Linked DNA regions of Drosophila melanogaster. Changing the gene in region 1 together with any one later gene gives a genetic interaction. Each region holds a gene or a part of one and is shown in the gene's direction. Other genes may lie near its edges.

Region 1 (9,439 bases):
GCACTGCTCTGACTGACGGTGCGGGCATGATCCACATGGTTTTGGGTCGGCGCCGCAGACGGAGCCGCTCCCGAGGCTGCTGGCATCGATCCCGAAGCTTCTCCCGACTGCACTGGCGTGCCCTCGCTCGCTCCGGATCCGTTTCCATTTCCGGGTACGGGCTCCACCGTGGGAAAGACGGGCGGCAAGGCAGGCGCGACCACGGGCGTCTGCACCATGGGTGTGGGAGGCGAACGATTCGCTGGCAACTGATGAGCAGTGGCTCCGGTCATCTGCATGTGGTACCTTTGGAGTGTAGATTGATGAACATTAAACAAGGACACAATATCAAACGATCTTTGGAACCCACTTGTAAATGTTCTCGGTGCTTTCGACAACACCTTGGGTAAGATTGAGGCTCCGCCCCTTGATGCCCGACTCCTTGGCCGGTGGGGACCACCAGTTGAAGACGCGTCCCACCACAGGCACGTGGCGCAGGATGCCCTCCTGCCAGAGCTTCTCCTCCGATTCGCGCTGCAGATCAGCGGTAACCGCCTCAATGCCCTGAGCGTACAAATAAATTAACACATGTTACATTAATCCAGTACGAGGTGGTAGCCAACCTTTTTAACAATCTCCGACATGGTGTCCAATACCCGCGAGTTTTCCTGGACGCTCTTGCCCACCGTGACCACCAAGTCTAACAACTCTTCGACCTCCGTTTCATGGGTCACCATTCCGAATCGCACACAAATCAGACCATCGGTGCCTTCGCCTAATGAAAAGGCATTGTCCGTGGATTTCAGGGCCTCCACCAGGTCGATGTTCAGCTTGTTTAGCTCTGTTTTGGCCTGGTCCGTCAGCAGGGACTCCCAGCCCTCGGGCACGAAGCGAACACCGCCCATGCCCGCCCATTCGGGCAGTGGAACGAGGCGCAGCACGTCGCTGCACTCCACCAGATGAATGAACCGTGCCTTGTGCTTGATGGTCGCGCGCAGGATGTCCACATGTGCCTCTAAGCTCTGAGCGAAGCTCTCCAGGTTCTCGGAGCTTGGCGGCTGCTCACCCAACCCCAATTCCAGCGGACAGTAGCGAATGCAGCTGCCGTGCGTCGGGTGTTCAATTACCTCAAAGTCAAACTGGAAGAACATGGTGATTAGGCTCATACAAGGAGATGATTAATTCACACTGCATACATTGGGACAGTCGCGTTGCAAGATTTGACCCAGCCAGGAGTTGAGCCGGTCGAAGTAGGAAGCATTGTTAATCTTCTCTAGCGGCTTGAGGCCTTCGGCCGTTTCCCGCTCAGCAGCGGCAGCGGCGGCGGAAGAGCCACTCCCGCCCAGTGGAATGGTGGTGCTGCCGTCGAACTGATAGGCGACCACGGGGGCGGCGGCATCAAAAAGCGCCTGCACATCAAAGGGGCTCTGAATGACGTCCGACAAAGAGGCTCCGGTCTGCGCTCCTGGAGTATGGCTCTGAAAATGCCAAGGTCCTTTGGTAAACTAAAAACATTATCCATAAACGTGTGTGCAATAATTTACCAACACCCGGATGCCCTCACACTTGGAGGCAATCTCGAAGAGAATACTGCACGTCTGGAAGGCCACATGCAGACGCTCCGCAATCGCCTTCCGGCCCAGCGCCTGCAAACTGGTCCACAAGGACAGGGCATTAAGACGACGCGACAGTATGGGATCGGATTCGAAGGCACTCAGAGCGCTGTTCTGCAGCGGACGGTGCAGCAGGACGATGGGCAGACTGGGCACACCCAGCCAGCTGCCCAAATTCAGGGCCATCGAGTGGAGTACCTCCTCCACATGGCCCTGATTTTGGGCGCACACCAAGGCGGCCAGTCCGTGGCCACTGGCGTGCAGCCACATGTTGTGCGCCTTGCATACGTCCCTCAGCCGGAGCAGGTTGTCCACATAGCCACACAACGAGGCTCCAATGTCGGCGACCACCAGCAGCGGAGTCCTGTTATTGCCCACATCCTGCTGAATTTGCTTTTGCAGCAGCGTCACATCCATTGTCCCGGACTGACTGTGCTCCGGAATGACCTTAATAGCCTCCAGCGGTATGCCCAACTGGCGGCATGCGTAGTGCAGCCTCATCGGCGTCGTATTCTCCGAGATGTAAAACGTAGGCTGCGCCAGGGCGGGTATGCCACCCTCCAAGTACCCCGGACACCTGGCGACGATGGCCAGTCGCACCGTACGCAGCACCGCGTCTGCATTGTCCGCATGGAAGCTGCTCGCCGGGTGGGCAAAGTGAAACAGCGTGCCCAACCAGCGGGTGGCGTCCCCGGAAATGCTGTTCGTCACCCGGAGCAGTTGCTGACGGTCCAGATGCGACAAATAGGCCACAATGCTGTGCGATATGAGAGCCAAGTGGGAGACGTCATCCAGGGCGGGCAGCGGGAACTCCGGATCATCGTCGCTGTCCGTGTAAGAAACCAATTGCTCCAGCGACTTAAGAATGTCGGAGGGCACGCGATGCTTCGCTGGCAGGAGGTCCTCGCTGGTCACCCGCTCCCCAGCCTCTTCCTCGTTCTCGACGGGATTTGGGCTCTCCGGCGTGGTCGACACCTTAACGTTCTCTAAGCGCTGCAGCACCTGCGAAGATCGCAGCTCCAGCTCCGCCAGGCCCGATCGAATCTATGTGGCGAATACATGGCTAATTAGGTGGGATAGTGGACAAGGTAAACAACAGCGCTCCAGAAGTTGACGTGTCTTCCGTCGTCGTCAGCAAAAAAAAAAAAGATAGAAGCAGGGCGAAAAAAACCAAACACTCACACTGGAAGCGGCGATTTCGGCCACCGCTGGCGTTGATTGGCCCGGATCCGGCTCTTGGTCTACGAGTGGGCTCTGGCCGGGATCGTCCACCGATCTACCAGCCGCTGACATGGTTTCAGTGCGGTCTAAATCACTTTTAACTTATCGCCTGCGATGCAAAATAATTGTTTTCGTTTCGTGCCACTGCGTCTGTGTGGGTGGGTGTGTGTGCGTGTGTGTGTGGGGCGGGCGAGTGTGTGTGTGTGTTGATGGAAGAGAGGCTGATGTGGAATGGTGTGACCGTAGTGGGTGCGTCTGACTAAGATCGCAAATAGTGTGCGATTGTTGGCCCATGGTTCTGGTGATGGAATAGGTCGCAAGGAAGTTGGAAAACTATTATAATATCCGCCACTAAAAGACGTTGGACAGCAGCACACAAACGTACATACATAGCACCTACTCGTAACCTTAAACGACGAGTTTTCACAGTGGTTTGTGTCACGGTTTGTGTCTCAGCGATTTTGAAGACAGCACCGCACGGTCATACTACACAGCCATCGATAGTTGCGGAAAACTCATCGATGCTGCGAAAGTGCGATAGTATCGAATAAACATGAGTGTGTGCATGAGTGTGGGAATTTATTAAACAAAAACGAAACGCGGACAAACTATATTTATGTAATAAACACTAAGCCGCAGCGCCAACGAGTAATGAACAGTCCACGGCCAGGTCGTACTATTCAGGCGAACGCACCTCGCAATCGACTGCAATCAAAGTGCAATAGCTCAATCAATTGATTCGTTTTGCTCAACCAAAAACAAAATCTATTCCCAAATCGGTGCGATAGTTGCCAAAATATAAAAACTACACTACGCTAAAAAAAAAACAATACACTCACACACTGGCGTACAAGACAACAAAAGAGAAGAAGAAGAGCAGACGCCAGATATAAAAAGCCCCCAAAAGAATTGGAAATAAGACCATACCCCTCCTTCTCCCTTGAAAAGGGACCTTAAAACTAGGCGACACCGAATAATTGAACTCAAGTAAAAAACCGGGAAAAGAGAAAAACACTTTCAACAAAATATCTAGAAGCCTTGTTATCGATTTTGTTCCGGGTTTTTTTTGTGTGAGTGTGTGTTGTGTGAAGCGCGCCCGCGGGTGTGTGGGTGAGTGTGCGTGTGGCTCTCGGCGCGTTATCAAAAACAACAACAATTCGTTGCAAAAGAAAAAATAAAGTAGAGGAGGCGGAAGAAGAAGAGGAATCTGCTCGCACCGCGGTCAATCGCGGATCGTGGTCGATTTATCGAATTAATCGCCCCGAACAAAAAAAACACCGTACAAGGACTTGCACTATTTCCAATGATTTCGCTGCTGCAAATGAAATTCCGTGCGCTTTTGTTGTTGCTATCAAAAGTATGGACATGCATTTGTTTCATGTTCAATCGCCAAGTGCGAGCTGTAAGTACTGAAATTACCCGAAAGCAGGAGTAAATCACAAAACAAAAATAGTCCTATTTTTACCCGCCCGAAACGCCGAAATTATTCCCAACCCGCTCCCGCTATCGAAACTTAAGTACTACTGCTACAGAATAATAATAATAAAAGCGGCCGCACTGATAAGATTTTCAATGATACAGGTAGTACTCGCTAGAGAGTATGGATGTGTTTGCCTCGGAAATTTATTTGAAGATTTGCATGAATAGAAACGTTGAACTTAAAATTAATTCATATATTTTAGATCTTTGTATCTGCAAATCTCTCATATCAATAATATGGTTTCATTTATATTTTCAAATTATATTTACGTTACTTCAATGTGCGATCTATTAAATTTAGAGTAACTTTCAATATATACGAATACGAGATATTTATTCCTAAATATTTGCAAAATTTTAAATTTTCGTAAAGTTACATATATTTTTGCTGGGTACCGCTTAGCCAGTGACACCTGTCTTAAAGTAAGCCTCTATCAAGATTTTCCGCCACACGTTTAATGGTTCGTGTTCCACCGAATCCCCACCCGTCCCAGAAGTGCTGTCCACGGTTCTCCCATCCGCCTTATCGACCACCCGCCTTCAATACTCTCTCAGTACTGGGCCGGCGATTTTGGCCAGATATCGTGACGCGGCAGAGGCACTGACCTTCGACCTGCTTATATACATAGATATCGATGAATCCACATCAACATTATATGCTATTGCACAGCTAATAATTGTTAATTGTTTTGTAAAAGCATAATATATCAGTAAATTGGGGTTTCCCATGCACTAGTGATAACTTGGCCATTGAGCACCTCTAACATCTCCTTGCACCGCAACCCAACCCCAACAGAGTGTAGCGACGCATAGCCACCAAGCCCATCATATGAACCCCATGTCGAATGCCTTTCAAGTACTGCTCCGTTGATTATGTATTAACTTTCTCAGTTTATCCAGTATCAACCGGTTAAATACGAACTCTTCCCGTTGTCACCCGTCTCGCGGCACCGCCTGAGCCTGGTGCAGCGCAAGACCCTCGTTCTGGACCTGGACGAAACGCTAATCCACTCCCATCACAATGCGATGCCCCGGAATACGGTGAAGCCGGGCACGCCGCACGATTTCACTGTCAAAGTGACCATCGATCGGAATCCAGTGCGCTTTTTCGTGCACAAGCGACCGCATGTGGACTACTTCCTGGACGTGGTAAGTTCCCGAATTGATTGGCCAAGCAAATAGATGCATTCCCGCATTTAAGTCAACACATTAACTTACGCCCTACTGCCCGCAGGTCTCGCAGTGGTACGATCTGGTGGTCTTCACGGCCAGCATGGAGATTTACGGAGCGGCGGTGGCAGACAAGCTGGACAACGGACGAAACATCCTCCGGAGGCGATACTACAGACAGCACTGCACGCCCGACTACGGATCCTACACCAAAGACCTGTCGGCCATCTGCAGTGACCTAAATAGGGTAAGCGGGAACAAGTGACTCCATGCGAGCCATCAGTTGCAAATCGATAAAGTAGAGGGTGCTGCATAAGATCGTACTTTATATACGAGTATTTTGTTCTAAATTGAGCATCGTTCCTTGCAGATATTTATCATCGACAATTCGCCCGGCGCCTATCGCTGTTTTCCCAACAACGCCATACCCATCAAGAGTTGGTTCTCGGACCCGATGGACACGGCGCTGCTGTCGCTGCTGCCCATGCTGGATGCGCTGAGGTTCACGAACGACGTGAGATCGGTGCTGTCGAGGAACTTGCACCTGCACCGCCTCTGGTAGCAGGTGGGCCGCCTGTCGCTAGTTTAGTTTATCTATTTAGAAGGAGCACTGAGGGCCAGCGAAGTGGGGAGAATATCTTCTGAAATTAACAACAAACAAGGTGGTGCTGTGACACATTAACGAATTTGTTCATTATTATTTAAAATTTGTACCATTCAGTCAAATGAGCGGAGATAAGATGAGACAAACAGATAAAGCAGAAAGTTGAGGATATATTGGGAGATTTGGAAGCGATGGTTTATTTCTCCTTTTGTGTATAGACTAACAGTTTTTTTTTAACAATCTAATTATGCATACATACTTGTCCATATATGTAGAGACCAGCTATTTTTATTAGACATTTTTTTCGCTTGTTTTTTTGGGTGTATATTTTGATTATAATATCAAATAAAAACTCTTGAACACAGACAGTATATAGTATAAAGTATATATATACAGTATACAGTATATATATGAATGTAAAGCTGAGCAGAAGGCGAAGCCACAACATAAAGAACAAATTTGTCAAGTTATATATCATATTATTGTAATTTAAATCTAAGGCCACTTACAACAACAGTCTTGTAATTTCTATACCATGATAACAATTAACTATTATGACACTGGAGTTGTTTTTGTGCAGATACGAACTAACAAGACGAAGCAAAATACTTATAGTTATACAAATTAGTTAATTACGAAACTTAACTTGGACATCATTATTATGGATAATTATTAAATATGTAACCGATTCTGTATAGACTTACGTACGTTCTGCCCTTGTTTCCTGTACAAAACTAAACGGATGAAAGATCTTCAAGAGTTTCATTGCTTGCAAACCAAACATAACACTTTTCTATGGATAAGATTTTTGGGGAAGTTATATATTTACGACTAAGCAACAACCCACAACTATAAACTACTATTAAAGTAAACAACAACCGAGGAGCAAGCAAGTAAGGCAAAATTTATATTTTGTAAGGCGAGCCAAGTAGCGAAAAGAATTAAAAATCAAATTAATTCTGATAGGATCGGATCAGATCAGGTTAATGAGCCGCAGACTGGGACAGATATATATAGGGAGTTTAGAGAGCCAAATCACTAATTATACGAGAACCGAGTTAGTCTGAGAATTGAGAAATCGTGGCACATCATCCGAAGCATCACAGGATATTCAGGATATTCCGGGCAGCAGCAGAGGAATTAGGCGAGAGACAAAAAGAAACACGTGAAAACGGCTTCCATAGTTAATGTTATTTCCAAAAGCATAAATACACCACTCTAAACTAAACAACAAAAGCTTGCACACGCCCTTACCCCTAACCCCACCCTTATCCACTTGTTCTTTTGATCGTATTGTACATTTATAACAATCAATATTTGTTTATTTATTGCAAGGAAATCGAGAAAGATACGTGTATGCGATGTTGTTAATTTTAAGTAGTTGATAGCAAATTTGTTAAACTGAAGAGTAATGAAATAAATAAGAAAGGGAAAGGGAAGGGAAAATCAGAAAAAGAATTACAAAAATAAAACAAAATCATGCAAAATCAAAAATAAAAAATGTGTTTTCTTTGATCTGCCGTTTGAATTTGGCGCTCCCTTTCCGTTCTACAGAACTTCGTCGCTTAACAGATTGCTAGTAAGAACCTGTTAGTGCGAATATGTGCTGTTAAGCGCACAAATAATGAATGAAAGCAGCTTATGCTTACTAGACATCAGCGATTTGATACTCTATTTGGATGAATATTATGACATTAAGAAAAATGATTAGCACGATAAAGATTTAAATTAAATCGATTCTGAGAGATTAATCTATTGAAACCAATAGTTTTAATTTATAGACATACAAAATAATTATTCTATTTGCATGAACTACTATTTTAGGAGTAATGTAGCTTAGAAGTCATTACATTGGCTTTCAAACCAATTGATTACATTTAACTAATTATCTGTACGCTCCTCTGCAGTATTGATTACATATATGAACAAATGTACTCCGACATGTAGGGTAATAGCACTGCGCTGTTAGCTGCCTCTTTGAGGTTATGTCTCTCTGTCGACAAAAACAGCAAGTTGACGTGAAACAGAAACGCAGCAGTATTTACGCAACGCAACTGGTAAGGAGTCGCCGGGAATCCAGATCGCCTTGGCTGGAAGAAGCAGAAAACCATATTTAATTCGAATTCACACCTCATTTAGCAAAACCGAGTCCATGGCCACCGCCGCAGCTGTAGCAAAAGTCGGAAAATCAGTGCACCGCATTTTCGTGGGCAATCTACCGTGGACAGTGGGCCACCAGGAGTTGCGTGGCTACTTCCGCGAGTTCGGACGCGTGGTGTCCGCCAACGTGATCTTCGACAAGCGAACGGGGTGCTCGAAGGGCTACGGTTTCGTTAGCTTCAACAGTTTGACCGCGCTGGAGAAGATCGAGAACGAGCAGAAGCACATACTGGAGGGCAACTACCTAAACATACAGAAATCTTAGATTCCCCACTTTAATTGTCATTTAGTTTATAAGCTCAGCAGATTTTTTTTTTTTTTGACATGTCGGACAGCGATACGGACACCGTGGACGAGCTTTTCCACCTTGCCACCGAGCATGTGGCCAAGCAGTCAAACAGCATTGGTTCCGCGGACCTTTTAATATTTTACGGATACTACAAGCAGGCCACGAATGGCCCCTGCAAGGAGCAAAGTCCGGGTCTGCTTCAACTGCAGGCCAAGAGCAAGTGGCAGGCTTGGCGCAATCTGGGAACAATGTCCCAGTCCGCTGCCCGGCAGGCCTACGTCCAGAAGCTGCAGGAGCTTCAACCCAACTGGCGGTCCCGGCGCAACCCAGGCTGGGTCGTTCATTCCATTGAGTCGGTCCCACTGGAGGACCAACGTTTGGACAGTGAAAAGACCCTGTTTGACCACGTGAAGGAGAACAATCTAGACAGGCTGAGGGAACTGCTGCAGCCAAGTGACTTGGTTAAGCTGGACGAGCATGGCATGGCGCTCATCCACTGGGCTACCGATCGCAATGCCGTCGAAATCATACAGTTCCTGGTGCGGAGTGGGGCCAGTGTAAATCAGCGAGATGCGGAGCAACAGACTCCGCTGCACTACGCCGCCAGTTGTGGACACTTGGAGGCGCTCCAATGCCTGTTGGAGCTACACGCCAGCCTGGAGCTACGCGATTCAGATGGACAGACTTGTTACGACGTGGCTGACGATGAGCAGATCTGCCAGGTGCTTCAAACGGAACGGGAACGACTCGCTGGATCCGCGTCCTAATGTCAAAATCTTAAGTTGTTCGGTGCTCATTTGCTTTAAAAACAGCAAGGTGTTGTGAACCATTGTAAATCTCCGACAAGTCCCCTGTAAGTTCTTTGGAACTATAATAAACATACATACATAAATGTAATTTTGGAAGTACTTTCCTTTCGGATTT
Region 2 (8,639 bases), on another chromosome or scaffold:
CTTGGAATCGCTGAGTTCGCCATCGGGATCCTCCTCCACCGGCGATTCGCTATTGGAGTGCAGCTCCACGCCGCTGTCCTCGCGGCTGAAGTGGCGCAAGGTTTCGTGCATCTGGGCTTGCTCCTGGATGCTCTTCCGGACCACAGGTAACGTGATGCTCAAACGACGCATATCCGTGTCGAAGCGGGCCCGGCCCGCCTTGTCGTCCACGATGAAGGGCAGGTCCAGCTTCAGGCGGTACTTGGCGCCCTGTCGCTCGCTGAACAGGTATATGGACTTGGAGGTGACGTCCAGCTGGCACTCGGCTGTCGAGCGGAGCAGGGGGAGCTCGATCTCCACGACAAGAGAACGAGGAACGGTCACGTGCAGCTTGGCATCCAGCTCGTCCGTGTACTCGGACAAGTCCACGTCGTGGCTGTGCTTGATCGTATACCTGGGCACCGTGAACTCCGGCACCGGAGAGGGTTTCGTTTTCATGGGCAGGACACGGGGCTCTTGTTTCCCCGGAGCGGGTGGCTTTGTGGGGAACATGTGCGCCAGGGGATGTGGCTCCTGCTCCTCGGCCGTGGGATTATCGGCCATCTTGCGTATCACAGTGGGACGGGGAATACCCTTGTAGTCCAGCTTGGGGAACTTGAGGTTGGCGCGATCCAGCGAGACCTTGTACTCGCGTTCGATTGCGTCCAGTGCCGTATCGATGAGGCATTGGCGGAACTGTTTGTTCCGCATGGCCAGGTGAAGGGCGTCGGGATGGAAGACGACGTCGAACACCTTGCAGTGGTTGTTTTTCGCATCGAAGTCATCGCGCGACGTGGTCTGGGCCATCGGAATGGACCAGCTCAGGCCCCGGCTACCACTCGACGGATCCGTGGCCACCTCATTTTTGGGCCTCTGGATCTCCTCACAGCTAGCGATGTTGATGAAGCACTTGAGCTCGCCATCTAGAGCGGTCTTGATCACGAATCCCGGCTTCGGGTGGATGAACCTCACCTCCACGCCACGCTCCTTCTCCAGCTGCGTGATCTCTGACTCGTAGATCTTGCGGTTCTCAGGATCCTGGATCTCATCCACGTAGTCGAAGAAGAGCTTGCGGAACTCCTCCTTGCCAAAGGCCTCCTGGAATCGGTTGAACTCGTCCCTGCTTATATCGAGCCGCTCATCGTCACAAAGTTTGGATTGTTTATTACGCGATCTAGATGCGGACATAGCTTTCTCGCAGGCACACTTCACTCACGGAGGGATCTCTTCGGTCTCCTCTTCTCTCCTCGGCACTTTTACTACACAAATACAAATTTTCTTATCACTTCGACGGGTTTTGATTTTTTGTTTGTTTCTATTTGTTAGGGGTTGCTCAGTTTTGGGCCACGTTTCCTTGGCAAATGCGTTGGGTTTCTATTTCTGGAAGGTTCTGAAAGTACAAATAAACATAGATGTAAGTACGGACAATCTTGTAAGATAATCAGCTATCTTATATTACGAATGTATAACTGCAATAACAACAAGACAAGTCGTTTGGGAAAAATTACTAGTTTTTCTGTTTCGGCTATACATATGTAAGTTCTATGTATACCTGGCTATTTTATAGTTTTGCAAATAAACCTTGAGGGCATGACTAAATCTTGCGGAACCTGGCGAAACTCTGGAAACTTTCCAATCGAATCTGAGATAAGCCAAGTAAGTACCAGGTCCCAAGGTTGCCCTAGGTCCTGACCATTTCGCAGCCAAAAAAAAACACCGAGCTGGCATTTAATCAAATTCTAATCAGCAGATAGGCAAATAAATATTAAATCAATGACGCAGAAAGGTCGCTGTCGAAAATCACCGGCTATCCGCCGGATTTACGGGCATTATGTAAGTAGATACACATGTGTGTAGATGACTACAAACTGACCACGAGTTTTTTTTTTACTTGTCGGCCAATAAATAAATAAACGAACTGCGTAGTTTGTGAAATTCTAGGAGAACGCGTAAATGTTTTCTGTTTTTTTTTTCGAGTTTTGGTGCGATGCTTTCCCGACGAGCGTTTTTATGAGAATGGGAGCGCTACGCCCGAAACGCCGGCAAATATTGGAGGCTCTTTGCGAGTCGAGCGGCCCACAGAGAGAGCGTCCTCTGCGCAGTGAGGGGCTTTTGATAAGCGCGAAAAAAACCACTTGCCCCAATTGTTTTTGTTTAGCGGGATTCTGCCCCCGCAGCCCCTGCGCTCACACACACATTATGCGATTTCTGGCGCAACCCAACTAATTGTACAATAAACGACCACATCTCTACACACATATGTATGTATATACAAAGATAATGTTTGTATTGCGTCTGCCAACTGATATTACAAACTTATGTACATACATATATGTGCAGGAGGGCGGGGGTGGTAATTGGGGGGTCAGTAAGATGATTCCCTACGGCGTGTGTATCTTCTCCATTGCAAGGAAAACGAGGAAAATTATAACAGTTACGTGACTAAAAACACATGTTTGCGCTGTGGGAGGGGGAAAACTCTGTCGTTTGATCGATACTAGCTGAAACCCATTGATTTTCTGGACAAACCGGTCGCAGTGGACATGAAAACCCTAACTAAGCAAATGTTTTGTTATATTCCATGACACCGGGTAGGTAAATCCGTTAATTTCACTCAGGAAAACAACTTAATGGCACGAAAACTCCTCCACTGAAGATCTCCTGCTTCTCCACTTACCTAAATTGAACACAATTATGCTTTGTGAACACAACGGCACTGAATAAAATAATTGTCTGTTAAATGGGCTCCTTTGCCAAAGACTCTTTGATGGGAGTTCGAGTTTGACGTTCTAGAAACTTTTCCGCTGACCGGCTGCTCGTGTTGGTGTGCGTGTTGTGCTTTGGTATTTTTACGCAGGGGATTTGGGAAATTTGAAGACCCGGTATTTTATGTGAAATATGTTATGTGCAGATGTGGGCCCTGGTCACACTGCCCGCTAGAAGTATATCGATAGGTTCCGATAGGCTCGGACAAATAACATTTCTAGCAATGGAGTCCAATATATATTTAGTTTTTCTATTGACGTTTCTGCTGTACAATAATGCCAGAGGTGGGCATCAATTAGTGTTAATCAATTACCAAGTGCTTGGTGAAGAGAGTGCGCAAGAGAAATTTCGATTTTATGGGGTTTTAGAGCCACATATAATGCCTTGAAAAGTCACTGAGTGTTTTGGGTTTGTTTTCATATGCTGCGGTTCTGGCCAATTGCGTTGCGTATTTGGCCAGGCCAAGGCGAAAAAAGTGCCCTCGGAATGCTGATTGGTGAAAGAAGCACCTGATGGATCCCACAGAATGTATTATATAAACGGATGTCGTGGGCGTTTGCAGCATAAGTGCATTTTCTCAATGATTTACCCACGCACACCACCGTTCTGTGTGTGTATACAGAACTTGCTGGGGCGCCTGTGTGCATGTGTGTGTGTGTGTTAGTGCTGGTGGCGTTTGTGTTGGTTGGGCCGTCCATGTGTGTACATATGTATATGCTATGTGCATATGGTTTAATGTGCATTTGTTATGTTTCAGCCGAAATCAGCGATCATCTGCGGGAGGACATACCGGACTTAGACATGGAGCTCTCCTCCGCCTCATCCGCCCATCTCAATGGCAAGGAGCTACCGGCCGTGCCACAGAACTCGGTGCAGACGCATCCCAGGTGATTATATCTTAAGTCTTGAGCCCATAGCTTGTAGCTCCCGCTTCCGCCCAAAGGCTTTGTATTGCTAATCTCATTTCCCTCCTAATTGCCATGCTGCTAATCCTTAATTAGGAGACACATTAAGAGTAAGCGCCGCATGAAGAGAAGGTAAAACCTACACGACTCATGAACTAAAACATCATAAACTGGTTAACTTTTAGTTAAAATTTTGAAAATATTCATAATTTTACTTAAAAAACCCCATTTTTTTTAAATATTTTATAGTATATTATACTTTTATACCCAAATGTTAACAATTAAAAGCTGCCCGTTTGCGTAACCGATTCTTCTTCAATCTTATTAAACTCTCTCTTTTTTTTATCAGATACAAATGCTACTCCTGCGAGCCGCCCTGTCGGGATCCCTATGAGTTTACCCACACCTGCCAGAATGCGATTCAGGTGAATACTCCACCTTAAACTTGATTAAAACTTAAATGTAACTTAATTTCCGAACTTCAACAGTGCTGGAAGTCGCGCACACGCGATGCCGATGGTCAGGTGCAGGAGTCACGCGGCTGCAGCACCTCGCCGGATCAACTGCCCATGATCTGCAGCCAGAACTCCTTGAAGATCAACGGGCCCAGTAAACGCAATACGGGGAAGTTCGTGAATGTGGTCTGCTGTGCCGGTGATTACTGCAATGAGGGAGACTTTCCGGAACTGCTGCCCTTCGACAGCAATGATGTGACGGTGATAACCGCGGATACCAGTAGCATAAGCAAGATGCTCGTCGCCGTTCTGGGTCCTTTTCTGGTCATCGCTCTGCTGGGCGCCGTGACCATCTTCTTCATTCGTCGTAGCCATCGCAAGCGTCTGGCTGCCTCGCGAACCAAACAGGACCCGGAAGCGTATCTGGTCAATGATGAGCTGCTCCGCGCCACCAGCGCCGGGGACAGTACGCTGAGGGAGTATCTGCAGCACTCGGTGACCTCCGGCTCGGGCAGCGGATTGCCGCTGCTAGTGCAGCGTACGCTAGCCAAACAGGTCACCCTGATCGAGTGCATTGGACGAGGCAAATACGGCGAGGTTTGGCGCGGTCACTGGCATGGCGAAAGCATCGCCGTGAAGATATTCTTCAGTCGCGACGAGGAGTCCTGGAAGCGGGAGACAGAGATATATAGGTGAGCAACAGATTATTTGTGACTCTGTAATTTGTAGCTGTAGAAATTTTTAACTGTTTCCCCAGAAGAAAAGTGCCCTAGTCCAGTCATGACTACCTACCTGTTGCTCTATGAATCATAAATAATCGTTCTTTGTTTTTCAGCACCATATTGCTACGACATGAAAATATTCTGGGATTCATCGGCTCTGACATGACGTCGCGGAACTCGTGCACCCAACTTTGGCTGATGACGCACTACTATCCACTGGGCTCGCTCTTTGATCACCTAAACCGTAACGCCCTAAGCCACAACGATATGGTATGGATTTGCCTGTCCATAGCTAATGGGCTGGTACACTTGCACACAGAGATATTCGGCAAGCAAGGCAAGCCAGCTATGGCCCACCGCGATTTGAAGTCAAAGAATATACTGGTCACCTCGAACGGCTCCTGCGTGATAGCCGATTTTGGACTGGCCGTTACCCATTCGCACGTCACAGGACAACTGGACCTGGGCAACAACCCCAAAGTGGGCACCAAGCGCTACATGGCCCCAGAGGTTCTTGATGAAAGGTGTGTGCTTATTGGCAGTACAAAAAAGAATATTTTTACATTAACAATTTGTCTATTGTAGCATTGATTTAGAATGCTTCGAAGCACTACGCCGGACAGATATTTACGCATTTGGACTTGTCCTCTGGGAGGTTTGTCGCCGCACCATTTCTTGCGGCATAGCAGAGGAGTACAAGGTGCCCTTCTACGATGTGGTGCCAATGGATCCCAGCTTCGAGGATATGCGCAAGGTGGTCTGCATCGACAACTACAGGCCCTCCATTCCCAATCGCTGGAGCTCGGATTCGGTAAGTCGCTTTCGATTGCCATTCTCTAGATCTTTGATCTCATTGTTGTTCTCATTTTTTAGTTAATGACTGGCATGTCCAAGCTCATGAAGGAGTGCTGGCACCAAAACCCCGACGTGCGCTTGCCAGCGCTGCGCATCAAAAAGACTATACATAAGCTGGCTTCCGCTGACGAGAAGATACGCCTGGACTTCGACGAGGTCTGCGTTTAGTGGTAGTAGTCGAGCCTTAGCTGTAAGCGGTAATTTAGTTGTACCACATAGGTAGTCTAAGATTCATTCATTGACATACCCTGCATTTCACACTATTAGTTCGTAGGTATATTATTCAAAGCTAAGCCAAGATCCTGCGTGTTGAAGCAAACTAATCCAAGTACAAGACCCTTGGGAGCTTATAGTTATATAGAAGACTTTAACATATTTACTTTATGTTTGGATTGACTTTATCGTTTCCGTTCCACCGTGAGCCTAGCCTGAAAAGGGTGCCTTTGAAATTGCCTTAAGTTAAAGTTAGCATCGACTCTAATGTATGTTCTTGGGATATCATCCTGTAAAGTTGTCATTTCACTATTTACCATTATTCATTGTTCATCAAGTGCCATTTGCAATTGAGAATTGTAAACGCCTTAACTTTAAGCTCACTCTTTGAACTTTACACTAAATTCATAACTCTAGAACTTGTCCATGCTATGATAAAACCATAAGCCACACCACCAACTGACTTGCTATCTTAGTTAGTTAAGCCTTTAGGACTTAGATACCCACGCATAGAAGCATACACACCTACTTGTATATTGTACAAATGGCAAGCTATTTAAGTTTTGTATAGTCTAAACGAAATGAAATACACGAATAGGCATTAAACTTTGGGATAACTGGGTTTATTTGCTCGGTTAATGTCAATTGTCTGGCGTCAGTACCCGGAAGCTATCGTCGTTTTCTTCGTCTAGGAAGAGCAGACGGAAGATGTCGTTGAAGAAGTCGGGATAGTAGTCGCATGCGCGTTTGCAGTCCGGAGTCCAGTTGATTTCCAGCAACTGGGGCTCCATCAACTTCTCCTTATCGTCCTTCCACCGCAGCATGATGTCGGCTGCGTAAAGAGCTCGTGATTGGGCACAAGGAGCCAGGCCGCAGGGTGGATCTGCTTGACTGGCGCACTGAAGCACCTCGAGCAGCATGCTACAGATCTGCTGCTCCAGAGCCGACCAATCGTTATCCGGATACTGTTCCTGCCAGAGCGTCAGGAAGTCGTCGCACTTGACGTGATGCAGCTGCGCCTCCGTCTGGTAGTTCATCACCGTGTAGTGTTTCTCGTAGTCATCGAAGTGATCCAGCGTGAAGGGATGGTTTGCGAAACGCAGGAAGAACTTCCGGTGTATATATGCCTTCAGGGGTTTGACGCTTTTCAACAGGATTACATAGCGAATATCGAACTTAACGCTGCCTTCCACCTCCTGCCGACTAAAGAGAACTGGTCGCTCGATGTACTTCTGCGCTATCTTCGGTCCAGTGGCCGGTAGACGTACGATCTGCTTGATGTTGTCCGTGATATGTGTGTCCAATCCGCGAGCCAAGTTCCAGGGCTTGATAATCCAGTGGTTGTCGAGGCCCTTGGCTGCTCTCGTTTGGTAGTAAGCCGCGAACTCCTTTACTTCGGTGGACAGATTATAGGTGGTGGGGAGCCATGCCGGAAACGTTTCAAGCGTAAGGCTATCATGGTGCTCCTTGGCCGCCCGGCGGCCCACAATGCTAAGGAGATCCTTGATGGTGATCACGTACTCGAACGGAAACTGATTGATGAACTTGCCGGGCGACCTATCTGCAAAATCCTCGAAATTCTTGAAGTGGTGTGTGAGCCAAAGGACATCCGCCTCGTCTGCGTTGTTAACTAGGATGAACTCGGACGAAGTTAGATGACGGCGCACCACCTCGTACTCTGCATACACCTTCAGCGGATCGCAACGTGACCTGGCTGGCAGTGGAACAGTATCGCCTTTGGGATAGGTCTCAGGGATGTGACCGCTGGTAAAGTAATCTGCCCGGGGTTCAACCTGCAAGAAGCTTTCGCCCGTGAGGTCGGCATCGCGCCAGGGTAAAAGCAGCGCAGGCCGCTGGGGCGCATCCTTTGCCACGTGCTCCACCATATCGCGGGTCACCGCTTCTCCGACATCGCAGTCCCGAATCGGAAAGAGCACACTGTATGTGGTTTGGGTGTTTAGGTAGAGCAGCGGAACAAGTCGAAAGTTGGGATCGTCCGAGTGGTTCACAGCCGAGCCGACTTCGTCCATCACATACCAGATGGGCTGGCGCTCCTCGTCCGACAAGCCTTCGCTGCCGATGGAGTAGGCGTGGCAGTACTTCCACAGACGGCGCAGGATCTTGTCGACCCGATCCTTCAGCTCAAGGTCAACGCCAGTGATGGCAGAAAGTCGCTCCGCCAGTTGCGGATACTCCTCCAGCTGCTGCCGAGCACCGTTTAGCCGGAACGTCCAGGCGTGATCGACCAAATAGATGGCCTGAGGATCACTGGCCTTTATGCCCTGCTCCCGGGCTACGCCCAGTGCGAACACAGGGTTGGGACTGTCATCGTCCTCGGCCGGATTCTGCTGTTCATCCTCATCGTAGTCGATCAGCATCAACTGGAGTGCCTCGCCGGCATCGAAGGTTTCCGTGGTCAGTTTTCGGAACAGAGCCGGCCAAAATATCAGCGGAATACCGGAGGACTCCAGCTGTGGCTTGTGCAGCGCCACAAACTCGTTGTACTTGTTTATGCCGTCCATTTGCAGAAAGGAATTCTCTTGGAGCACGACCCGGTTAAAGTGACCGTATACGCCGTGTTGATGCATGTTTCTTCTTCTGCCGCGGAGGAAAATTGCACTTTTAGGAGTCGGTTCCGTTGCCACTATATTCTATGAGATCTGGTTTGAACATAAAACTATCAAAAGTACGTTTTCAAAAAAAGA

Evidence for each region.
Region 2: of Dd (region 1) and sax, changing one suppresses a phenotype caused by changing the other (phenotypic suppression), as found in Drosophila melanogaster (one study listed by BioGRID).

Annotation. Positions count from the first base shown.
Region 1 is NC_004354.4:21,317,907-21,327,345, reverse strand, and holds Dd (dullard), read left to right. Parts: upstream 1-3,336; 5' UTR 3,337-4,116; coding exon 4,117-4,215; intron 4,216-5,183; coding exon 5,184-5,441; intron 5,442-5,526; coding exon 5,527-5,709; intron 5,710-5,832; coding exon 5,833-6,024; 3' UTR 6,025-7,555; downstream 7,556-9,439. Other genes in the region: CG1486 (uncharacterized protein), read right to left, coding at 1-285, 350-543, 603-1,118, 1,176-1,457, 1,524-2,636, 2,775-2,885; SLIRP1 (SRA stem-loop interacting RNA binding protein 1), read left to right, coding at 8,219-8,491; anox (anorexia), read left to right, coding at 8,551-9,282. UniProt on the Drosophila melanogaster protein: Serine/threonine protein phosphatase that may dephosphorylate and activate lipin-like phosphatases.
Region 2 is NT_033778.4:7,803,531-7,812,169, forward strand, and holds sax (saxophone), read left to right. Parts: upstream 1-2,953; 5' UTR 2,954-3,007; coding exon 3,008-3,068; exon of another isoform or gene 3,069-3,482; intron 3,483-3,541; coding exon 3,542-3,671; intron 3,672-3,785; coding exon 3,786-3,821; intron 3,822-4,038; coding exon 4,039-4,114; intron 4,115-4,177; coding exon 4,178-4,836; intron 4,837-4,979; coding exon 4,980-5,390; intron 5,391-5,451; coding exon 5,452-5,677; intron 5,678-5,739; coding exon 5,740-5,889; 3' UTR 5,890-6,537; downstream 6,538-8,639. Other genes in the region: Nop17l (Nop17 like), read right to left, coding at 1-1,206; TTLL12 (tubulin tyrosine ligase-like 12), read right to left, coding at 6,576-8,456.